Linked DNA regions of Arabidopsis thaliana. The protein of the gene in region 3 purifies or fractionates together with the protein of the main gene of each other region. This does not show direct contact. Each region holds a gene or a part of one and is shown on either strand. Other genes may lie near its edges. The genes, in order: AT2G40010, AT3G52580 and PGY2.

Region 1 (3,753 bases), on a different chromosome or scaffold from region 3:
TCACAAAGAGGTTCTGGAGTAAGCTGAATGATCTCATCATCATCACCATCACTATCCTCCTCTGGCTCCGTCTCCTTCTCCTTTGGATCCTCTGGCTCGGTCTCCTTCTCCTCTGGATCCGTTTCCTCCTCAGGATCCGTCTCCTCCTCATCAATTAGCCATCCACAATGAAGATTCTCCACACCTAATCAATTATTTTGACCGCAGTAAAAGAATGTTTCATTTCTTATGTTGAGATTGGTATGGATATGAGTAAAAAAGCTTTTATTACCTCGAACAGAACTTTGTGCATAATCTGATGATGCTTCTCCCAAATGAATAGCTGCTGGTGATGGGTCATTGACTGCTTCGCTATTGATTGATAACTCATCAGCTTGGTCTCTTCCATACTCAATATGCATGTCCTGCTCCTGCTCCTGTATTACAAAAGATGGATCATGCTGCAAGTTACATACCATTTGGGTAAACCAAGTTCAAGAATTCTGTCAATGGTTTCTAATAATGCCAGCAAAACGAATCCCAACAATGGAAGCAACAGATTTGTGAACCTGCACAGAAAGAGAACGAGAAGGAAGAAAAACAAATCACCTTCTCTTCTTCGTGTATTTCCACAGCCAATTGATTGGGTTGTTCTTCCTCAGCCATCTCTTCATTGTGATTCTCAGGCAATTGGTTGGCTTGTACTTCAGCCAATTGTTTCTCTTTTTCCTCTTGCTTTTCAAGGCAGATAGCAAGGAGGGGACCATAGCTATCATCTTCAATCAAAAACCATTGGTCTTCGTAGACCTGAAATCCAAAGTGGGTAAAACGTTATTTTCAAGTTGCAAGGAAAATGTTATCAACAACGGAAAAATGGAGACCCTAAAACTAGCGAACAAACCTCTAACAGTTCCTTAATACTCTCACTGATAACATGCTCATGAAACCCAAATCCTCTCATGCGATCTCGTGCTGCATCCTCTCGCATCAATCCAGCCTTCTGCAAAAAAGCAAAAGAAAAGTAGCAATTTAAAAGCATAGAAAAGAGAGATAATCATAGAAGGAAAAAAACAAGAACACCCATCATAAAAAGAAGTATTTGTAAACTTATCTCATCAGTGTTCTCAACGTTGAGTACACAGAAGTCGTAGAGAGAAACAAAATGTTAACTTCAACAATCATGTCATTCAAATACTTCATCTATATAGTCATTCTACTCTAATGTCTATGTCTATGCTTTTATCTTAGTTTTCCACTATACTCTCTAAAAACTATATGATTCAAAAGCTCATATCTTTACTTGTTAGCCAGCATTTTAATTTGGAAAAACAAAACAAAAAAAACAGTACAGCTTATACCTTTCTTCTTCCTCTGGGAGCCATTTGTTGATCCCTCACAATTCCCTGTAGTTTCAGAAGAAATTGGAGGACCAAAAGTATAAGTCTTTGGGTTATAATCAAACAAACAAACAAAGGCAACCAAACAAGTGATCCCTTTTTTCAAACCTATGTAACAACAAAATCAACGAAAGATGAAACAAAACAAAAGTTGAGCTCTTTCCCAAAAATCCCGAATCAGTAACACTAGAGATAAACCAAAAATACCCTAAAATTCAAACCCAAATGAAACCTAAACAGAATCACAACAAAACACAAAAACACGAACTTAATTTTGCTACAGAGATGACAATGTGCTGAGCTGTTTCGTTCAGATTCGATAGGGAAAGAGAGTACTTACGGCGGAGAAGATAAAATCGGCGGCGACTGTGGAAGGTTTCTTAAGAATAAGCCGTGGATCGCCTCCTCGTCTCCCAAAAATGCTTCTTTGAATGAAATCGAATTAAAAAAATAATATAGTATTTGTTTGGGTCAACCATTTTCTCTGTTAAGTCAACCATTTTCTTATTGGTTACTATAAAAAATAATAAAGTATGAATTACAATGAATGGATCTCAGTTGGGCTTGAGATGTGGGTCGAAAGAGCTTTTAGCCCAATAGGAAAAAGATTCATAATGTTAAACATGTTGGGCAATATTGGCCCATCCCATTGATACTACTACAAATAATATAAGCCGTTAGATTTAGGTCATCCCACAAACCCTGACCGTTCATCCTTCCGTCTTCCGATAACTATATAAACCCAAGAAACTTCTTCTTCAACCTTAAGCAAATTCTTACGCAGCTTTTTTTCTTTCTCTCTTCCTTCCTCTGTTAAAAACAGTTACAGAGGTTAAAGAGACAGCGCCAATTCGCGCTGTCCACCTTGTACGAGCTCCAAGCTTCGTCTAGGCCCTCCATTTTCTCTACCCCAAAATTTAGTTTCTTTAGTCTCACTTTATCATTTTTAAGTGGAAATGGCGGTGAAAGCAACAAAGGCGGAGAAGAAGATCGTTTACGATTCAAAGCTTTGTCAGCTTTTGAATGAGTACTCTCAGATTCTTGTCGTTGCAGCTGACAATGTTGGATCAACTCAGCTTCAGAACATAAGGAAAGGTTTACGAGGTGATTCAGTTGTTTTGATGGGGAAGAACACAATGATGAAGAGATCTGTGAGGATTCATGCTGATAAAACTGGCAATCAAGCTTTCCTCAGTCTCCTTCCTCTTCTTCAGGTTTCATTTCTCTTGTCTTGAATAGTTTGTTTTCATTTGGATATAAAGTATTGATTTTTTGGTTTTGTGGAGAATTTGATTTGGTTTGGTGTTAGAATCTATTTAACAGGGGAATGTTGGGTTGATCTTCACTAAGGGTGACTTGAAGGAAGTCAGTGAAGAGGTTGCTAAGTACAAGGTTTGTTTCTTTGGCTCAATTGATGTTATTGTTGTTGTTAAGCTTTAGTAGAGTTCAAATATGGATTGATAGCTTGGAAAGTGAAAGTTTGTATTTTTGAGTTTGAAATGAAATCATATGTGTTCTTGCTTAAAATGCAGCCACATTCTAATTGAGATTATTATGATTCGTTGAGCTTTGAGGAGATTACATTTTCATTGATTGGTTTATTACTTAGTTTGGTTAGTTTTATGCTGTATCTGATTATCTCTAAGTAAGCAAGAATGCAAGGTGTTGTATTATTCGATTTTAAACACAAATGCAAACTTTCACTTTCCAAGCAAATAGGGTTGATTAGATTATAGTACTAGTTATTTTGGTTCATTGAGGTTTGAGGAGACGACATTTGTAGTTTCTGTTTTGTGTTTTGATTGATTGGTTTATTTTTAGCTTCTACTGTTACTTGATGATTTAGTCAGTTTATGATCATCCTTTAACCTATGGCTTTAGGTTATTAACTTGTAAGGTGGATAGGTGATAAAGTTTGCATTTTGGTTTAAATTGGAACTCAAAACCTCTATTTTCTGTCTTGAAACGCAACCACATTCAAGAAACTTACTTGAGAGTCTACTAGTTTCCTAGGCTCACATTTTTGTAGCGTCCTTTCATGTTGTTGGATTGATTGATTTTTTCAACTTAGTCTTGTACTGTTAATTGATGAGAAATTCATTGTCCTTTTTTTGACAGGTTGGAGCTCCTGCTCGTGTAGGTTTAGTCGCTCCAATTGATGTGGTCGTGCAACCAGGCAACACTGGTCTTGACCCTTCACAGACCTCCTTCTTCCAGGTGCTTAACATTCCAACCAAAATCAACAAAGGTACGGTTGAGATCATAACCCCTGTGGAGCTCATCAAGAAAGGCGACAAAGTCGGTTCATCCGAGGCTGCGCTTCTTGCCAAGCTTGGAATCAGGCCCTTTTCGTATGGTCTCGTTGTTGAGTCAGTCT
Region 2 (3,753 bases), on a different chromosome or scaffold from region 3:
ATTTACTTCGCCGGAGAGATTCGAAGCTACCAAAGAAGAAGAATCAATGGCGAGAACGAGAATTATAACGAACCGATTTGAATCTCGCTTTTTGATTCGTTTCCTTGAATCTCCGACTCTATTCGCCTCTTGTTTCACGAGTTCCAGATCTCTTCAAACCCTAGCCTACGAAGAAGTCCGAACCTCCGGTGATCGGGAGTCTGAATCTACAGCTCTCATCCTTCATGGCCTCCTCGGTTCCGGTCGCAACTGGAGATCGTTTTCTCGCTCCCTTGCATCATCTCTCTCCGTCTCCTCTGCTTCTGGTACGCTTCTCTCTGTGATTAGTATCTTGAGCTTTTCATTTGATATATCGATTGAAATTTCTTGTGTGTGTACATTCAGATTGGAAGATGATATTGGTTGATCTGAGGAACCATGGGAGATCTGCGGAAGTGGAAGGGCTTAATCCGCCTCATGATCTTGTGAATTCAGCTAAGGATTTAGCTGATTTGGTTAAAGCAAGTGGCTGGAATTGGCCTGATGTGGTCATTGGTCACTCTTTGGGAGGTAAAGTGGCGTTGCAGTTCATGGAGAGTTGTGCTCGTGGTGATTTTGGTGAATCTGCTTCTCCTCCTAAACAGGTACTGGACCAAAGTTACTTCACCTTGTGAATTCTTATCATGTATGCAAGTTTAAGAGCTCATTGTTGTTGTGAGATGCAATATTTGTGATCTTTTAATCTGATAATGATGATGATGACCATAGCAAAGGTTGTTTGGTGCAGAACAGCTATGGGTACTAGACTCTGTCCCTGGGGAAGTCAAGGCAGAAAAAAGTGATGGTGAAGTAGAGAAAGTTCTGAAGACTTTGCAGAGTTTACCTTCATCAATCCCTTCTCGCAAGTAAAGTCTCATTCTTTATGTGGTTCTTGGTGTTTGTCTAATTATCTACACTCTGGACTCTTTGTTTTAGCTTAGGAATTCCAAATTGATTCCCGCATATGAAATCTCGAGTGAACGTTAGTATAGTTGGTGTATAAGTATACCATCTCTCTGATTGAGCTGTTACTGCGGATTCTAGGACATTTTTAAGATTTAGATAAGTGGGAATAAAGAGCATGCTTATATGATCGCTTCTAGCTGATTATGTTACATATATAAATGAGGCTCATTTCAGCTTGCAGAGTATAGAATCCAACCTTGGTGTCACTCAAACATTGTTTTCTGATTCTAGGTGGCTTGTTGATCGTATGGTCGAACTTGGGTTTTCAAGATCATTATCCGAGTGGATTGGCAGCAATCTCAAGAGATCTGGAGACTCAGAGACATGGACCTTTAACCTTGACGGAGCTGTCCAAATGTTCAACTCTTACAGGTTTATTTCCCTTCCTAAGAACCAATGACTATGATTATATTATGAACCTTCCTCGAGATTTTGACTTTTTACTTTCCTACTGCAGAGAGACTTCTTACTGGTCTTTGCTAGAGAACCCGCCAAAAGAGACAGAGATAAATTTTGTGATTGCAGAAAAGAGTGACCGATGGGACAACGATACAACCAAGCGGCTTGAAACAATAGCTAACCAGAGACAGAATGTAGCCGAAGGGAAGGTTGCGACTCATCTTCTTCGTAACTCTGGCCATTGGGTACACACAGACAATCCAAAGGGACTCCTAGAGATTGTGAGTCCCAACTTCTTCTCCCCACACGAGTAGACGATGCGCTACGAAAATGGCATTAGTCTTTGCTTACAATTTCACTCCTGTTCAGTATCTATATGCAGAAATAGCAAATCCAATCGCAACTATTTTGACGATGCGCGGTTTTTCCCGTTTGTGTTTCCTAATTTTGCATTAGCATATCCTTTCAACAATGTACAAACGTTTAGGAGGATCTAATAACATCAATAAACTTATCACATTCATAACTTTATACACAAGATTTGAAAGACAATGACTGCTACGTTAGTACGAGGCACAACACCAGTAAGAAGACTAGAGACGATTAAAAATCCAAGATGCTCAAAAACTAGCACTTTTGCTCACTTTTATGGGCCGTAATATGTTGGGTCTGTATATATATTGGGTCTCAATTAAATTATCCATAAAATCACTACTTTAACCCTAACAAAAATTCAGACTATTAAAGCAAATTCTGATCCGTCTCTTTCGCTAGCTAAAGGTAAAAGGCGGAACAACAAAAGAAACCCTAGCTTCCCTTTGTACCTCTCTCTGTTCCAAACCATGGTAAGTTTGTCTAAAGCTTATAATTAATTTTCATGGATTTAGTGATTAAGAAGATATATAATCTGTAAATCCATTTCTGGTATTGTGTGGTGGTCTGAAGTGAGAAAATGTTTAATAAGCAATCCTTATTCTTCGAATTTCGATCTGAGATCATATGAATTTTCTGAGACATTGGATTTTTTTTGTGTGGCTCTAGCGTTGAGTTATCAAATTGAGAAGTTTTTATTAGATATTGCAAATGCATAATGCTAGTTTTTGTTTGGTTTTGTAGTCGAAGAGAAAGACCAAAGAGCCAAAGGTTGAGAATGTGACTCTTGGACCAGCTGTTCGTGAAGGAGAGCAAGTCTTTGGAGTTGTTCACGTCTTTGCTTCATTCAACGACACTTTCATTGTGAGTGGCTTCTTTATTTTTCAAGCAAAGTTAGATTTTTATGTACATTTCTGAACTTCTTATATCTGCAATTGCAGCACGTGACTGATTTGTCTGGACGGGAAACACTTGTTCGCATCACTGGTAATCATCTCTTTCAACTCTCACTCTCTAATCCTTTGGTGATGATCCCTTTGTTAACTTGTATGCGGTAGTCTCTGTTGAGTGTGAAATGAAGTTCTTGACTGCCTAAAGGTTCTGCTTAGTATCTGCTCTTTTAAGTTTTTTCGAGGAATCCGTTGATATCTTTATAGAAATTGCTTTGTTCTTGACGGCATCAATGTTCCTGCTTATAGAACTAAGTTAGTTACCATTGTTATTAGTATTATGGTCTTCTCTATAGGGTGTGAGCTGAAGTGTCTTTAGTCTTTGTTCGTTTAACTTTTGAGGAATTCCTTTTGTTTATCTGTTTGGAAATTGCATTGTTCTTAAATAACAATGGGTTGCTAAAATTGCTGTTTCGATTTCCTACTTCTGTAGGTGGAATGAAGGTGAAAGCCGACAGAGATGAGTCCTCACCTTATGCTGCTATGCTTGCGGCACAAGATGTTGCTCAGCGATGCAAGGTAAAGGCAAAGAAATTGCATTACCAAGCAGACAACTTGATAATCTTTTATGTTTCTATATTTAATCGATTTGGTGAATATATTTATGCAACACAGGAACTTGGAATCACTGCCATACATGTGAAACTCCGTGCCACTGGTGGTAACAAGACCAAGACCCCTGGACCTGGTGCTCAGTCTGCTCTAAGAGCCCTTGCCCGTTCTGGCATGAAAATTGGTCGCATTGGTAAAACAGCAGCAATCTTCAACTGTAATTGTTTAATTGCATCTTTGATTGAATAAATCTCTGACATTGTTCTTGTTTTCCTCAGAGGATGTGACTCCAATCCCAACCGACAGTACCCGCAGAAAGGGTGGAAGAAGAGGAAGGAGGCTCTGAGTTATTTGGCCTCTCGTTGGATCTCCTTATGTAGCTTTCTCAATGTTTCATTTTGTTTTTTCTTAGTTTGAAAAGAGTTTTGGAATTACTATGCTTTGTTATAGTCTCAACTCTGAACAGCTTTGGATCTTTTTCTGTATGACCATAAGA
Region 3 (3,753 bases):
ACTTCTGGAAAGCAGAATCATTCTGCACTAATATTGATCACCTGACCATCAGGGCGTCTCGTAGCTTTTCTCAAATTGCAAAGCTCGCTTTCGTTGTCTCAAGTTATCTTTATGTTTGATCACAGCGTTGCGAGAAATTGATTTTAGTTTAGTGACTGAAGTATCAATTTTGAATGCACAACCCACAATGCCAAATCCAGAACAATCCCAAATTCACACGATATGATTTAATTAAGCAAAGGTGAAAATGATAGCTCGTCTCCAAAACTTGTGCATAAGTAAATAAAATCTCGAACACAAAAAGGGAACAAGGGATAGCCAGAGTTTTGCAACACCGGTGGATTTGGTCCATAAAACGAAACTAACATTCAAAAGACAAGAAATAGGAGCTAAGACGATGATATGGGCATTCATTCTTCCTCTACGATCTTGCTTTTCTCGCTAACATAGATACCATCAAGAAACTTCCTGATATCCTTCTTCTTCACGTGACATTTCTGCACAACAATCACAACATAAAAGATTACAACAAAGACTTGAACACGTAAATCAATCACTGAAATGATCCTTTTGATTTCACTATGCAAAAATGTGATCCTAAACTCAAACATCAACCAAAAAAACACTTTCATACACAATGCTGAAAAGCTTAAGAAGCCAAACAATAGGCAAAATTGGCAAAGTTTACTTAGCGAGTAATCTAATCGTCTATTAGAGACCTATAGAGATAATACAAATCGATTTTCACTTCATTTATGCAAAATCTGATTCCTAGAACTGAACCGTGTCACCTATCTAACACAATCTCTCAACCTTTTAGTCCCAAGAAAATGCAAATTTGGCTAGATAACACCTAAATCTCTTTGATACCAGCTAGTTAGAGAGAGTACCTGGTTGATCAAAGCGCATGACCTTGAAACAAGCTCGATGTCGTTACCGTCAAGAACAATCTCATCCTTCACCTTCTCAGATCGAACAATGGTTACACCATCCAACATCTCTACCTTCCTCACCTATTATTCCAATAAACACATTTCTATGTAAGTTCAGTGCTCGCAAACTCAGAAATCAATCATCATCGTCCAATCATAAAGTTGAATCTAGTGTCAGTCTATTTCATTCCGAGATCTACACGAATCTATGAGAATCAAATCAGAGATGAAGAAGATAAAACAAACCTTCTTCTCGCCAAGGAAGTTACGGATCTCGATAGACTTTCCGTCACCGCCGATGGAGGCGTTGATGGGAAAATGGGCGTACACGAACCTCATCTTGTAACGGAAACCTCTGGTAACACCGGAGATCAAGTTATCGACGTGGCTAAGAGCGGTTCTGATGGAGGCGCTGGTTTTGCGTGTTCCAAACCACGAATCGATCTTAAGCTTCTTCTTTCCAGTCTCTGGATCCTTGATCAGCTGGAAATCGAGGTTGAGATGCTTGAAATCGCGAACAAGCTTCCCGCGAGGTCCTTCGACTTCGATCACTTTAGCGTGAACCTTGATGGTAACACTGTCGGGGATGTCCATCGTTTCGGAAGAAAGAATCGTCTTCATCTTCTCCGATCTTTGTTTTGCTCTCCCTGACGGCTCTCTGGTTTGATCAAAGAAACCCTAGAGGGAGATTTCTCGACGGCGTTTTAAAAGGTATCAAGAGAAAAAACCCTAAATATCTTTCATATGTGGGCCTTTATCAAAATTCAGCCCACTAAAATCGTGCCCATAAAGAAAACCAAAAATGAGAAAAATACATTATTTACAATAAGCCCATGGCCCGTTAAAAATATTGGGCTGGAATGACGGAAGTGGTGCTCTCTCTCCTTCTCAAGAAAAATGACGGCGTCAGAAGTGGGTCAGAAGTGGGTTTAAAAGTGGGTTTTACTAAGAGACTAATCAGAAGTGGGTTTAAAAGTACACCCATTCCTAGCCCAATAAAACTGAAGCCCAGGAAACACCCAAAATATATTATTGGCAATAACAGGTCATATATATGCCAATTAATATAATCAAGTACCAATAGAATGCATGCTATTCGGCTTTTTCTGGATTCGGGTAATTCGAATTAGAGAGTTTAGTATCCTTTCAGATGGATAAGATTAGATATTTATGTATTCGGGTTGATCGGGTTCAGATCAAATAGAGGAGTTTAGGATTTAATTGAGTAAATATATATAAAAATTGGTTCAGTTTGGTTCGGTCTATCAAGTTTAGGTCGAAAGAAAACACCATTGTCGAAAGAAAGCCGTAGCAAACCACCACTGAATTAGCCACAGATCGAGTCACCGTACCAAACGCAAACAACATATTATTTTCTCTTTGCTCTCTCTTCGATTTGCTCTCTCTCTCACGACGGCTAAAGGCAGAAACCCTAGTTTATGAATCGTCGGAAGCAATTTAAAGATAGAGACGCAGAAACCCTAAAGCAAATGTGGGCTTATTAAAACTCAAAAGTGAGAAAAGTTTATTATTGTCATTAAGCCCATGACCCGTTAATAATATTGTGTCAGAATTAGGCCTTTTGAACTTTCTATAATGATGTAAGTGGCGCCAATTTCATCATTTTTGTTTCTACTTTTCACGTTTATTTTCTCCATTTTTTACCTTTCAAAACTCTTTGTAATCATTTTCTTTTGTTGAATAAATTTGACATTCCAACAAAAAATTATTTACAAAAAAATTATTTAACTTGTATTAAAGCATAAACCTTAGAAAATTATTCACTGGCCGCATTTTAAAAAGTATAAAGAAGAAAAACAGAAACTCTAAAACAATGTCATGTGGGCTTATCAAAATCAGCTCAACTCGTGTCGAGAAACAAAAATCCTAAAATGAAAAATAAATAGATTATTTGCAACAAGCTCATGGCCCGTTAATTGTTTTTTTTATATATTTTCAAACAAAGCCAACGGAGAAATAATTCAAGTTTGCTCTTTGTTTGCTCTCTCTGCGCTTCTCCCACTCGCCGACAGCTTTTTAGAGAAAGAGAGGTTAGAAGAAACTTATATCTAAATGAGTTAGTATGTGGGCTGGCGGCCCGGTCCATTTGAAAGCAGTCCGTTCCGGGCCAGACCAAATAATAATTTATCATTGCTTTAAAGAACAAAATAACAAAAGTCGAATAAATTAGAGAAATTGTCATAAATAGCACCAAATCAAGTTATGAGTAGCCGGCAAAAAAAAAAAAATCAAGTTATGAGTATATCATACTTTAAAATTTTATTATATAAAATTTGCTTTTCAAAGTAATTAACACTTGGTTTTGAACCCACGCGTAATATAATTTGGTGAAAAGTATATATTATTGATTATAGTATTAAAATTTCTAATAAAGTAAACATTTTATTTTAAATATACCATATTAAAAATTATAAAAATCAATAGAGTTAAGAATCAATTTTGATAAAAAAATTACGCGTGGATTTATAACCTAGTAAATTTAAAATCATGCGACCAAAACGAAGCAAGCAGCAATATTAAGACCATAAACATTCGAGAAGTACACAAGCTTTTTATTTTTCAAAATATAGATTTATTCATAAGTTAAAGCAATGAAAATAAAATAAAAATCTACCAAATATTTGCCAGAGATTTTGTAAAGTTGATCAATCCATCCAGAAAAAAAAAAATTGGACCGAAAAAAAAAGAAAAAAACATCCCCAAATCTGCACCTCCTCTCATCTTCTTCATCTCCTCCTGAAGCTTTCTCTCTCTCTATCTCCATCTCTAGGTGTTATCTCCATCTCTAGGTGTGCTTATA

Evidence for each region.
Region 1: the proteins of PGY2 (region 3) and AT2G40010 fractionate together in Arabidopsis thaliana (co-fractionation; one large-scale study listed by BioGRID). This does not show direct contact.
Region 2: the proteins of PGY2 (region 3) and AT3G52580 fractionate together in Arabidopsis thaliana (co-fractionation; one large-scale study listed by BioGRID). This does not show direct contact.

What each region holds. Positions count from the first base shown.
Region 1 is NC_003071.7:16,709,028-16,712,780, reverse strand, and holds the start of AT2G40010 (Ribosomal protein L10 family protein), read left to right. Parts: upstream 1-2,008; 5' UTR 2,009-2,332; coding exon 2,333-2,590; intron 2,591-2,699; coding exon 2,700-2,768; intron 2,769-3,217; exon of another isoform or gene 3,218-3,494; coding exon 3,495-3,753. Other genes in the region: AT2G40020 (Nucleolar histone methyltransferase-related protein), read right to left, coding at 1-184, 272-416, 589-786, 881-1,018. UniProt on the Arabidopsis thaliana protein: Ribosomal protein P0 is the functional equivalent of E.coli protein L10.
Region 2 is NC_003074.8:19,501,099-19,504,851, forward strand, and holds the start of AT3G52580 (Ribosomal protein S11 family protein), read left to right. Parts: upstream 1-2,054; 5' UTR 2,055-2,225; coding exon 2,226-2,228; intron 2,229-2,499; coding exon 2,500-2,619; intron 2,620-2,696; coding exon 2,697-2,742; intron 2,743-3,138; coding exon 3,139-3,224; intron 3,225-3,320; coding exon 3,321-3,450; intron 3,451-3,535; coding exon 3,536-3,603; 3' UTR 3,604-3,753. Other genes in the region: AT3G52570 (alpha/beta-Hydrolases superfamily protein), read left to right, coding at 47-305, 385-623, 772-884, 1,216-1,356, 1,442-1,697.
Region 3 is NC_003070.9:12,021,160-12,024,912, reverse strand, and holds PGY2 (Ribosomal protein L6 family), read right to left. Parts: upstream 1,689-3,753; 5' UTR 1,554-1,688; coding exon 1,179-1,553; intron 1,014-1,178; coding exon 891-1,013; intron 498-890; coding exon 411-497; 3' UTR 130-410; downstream 1-129.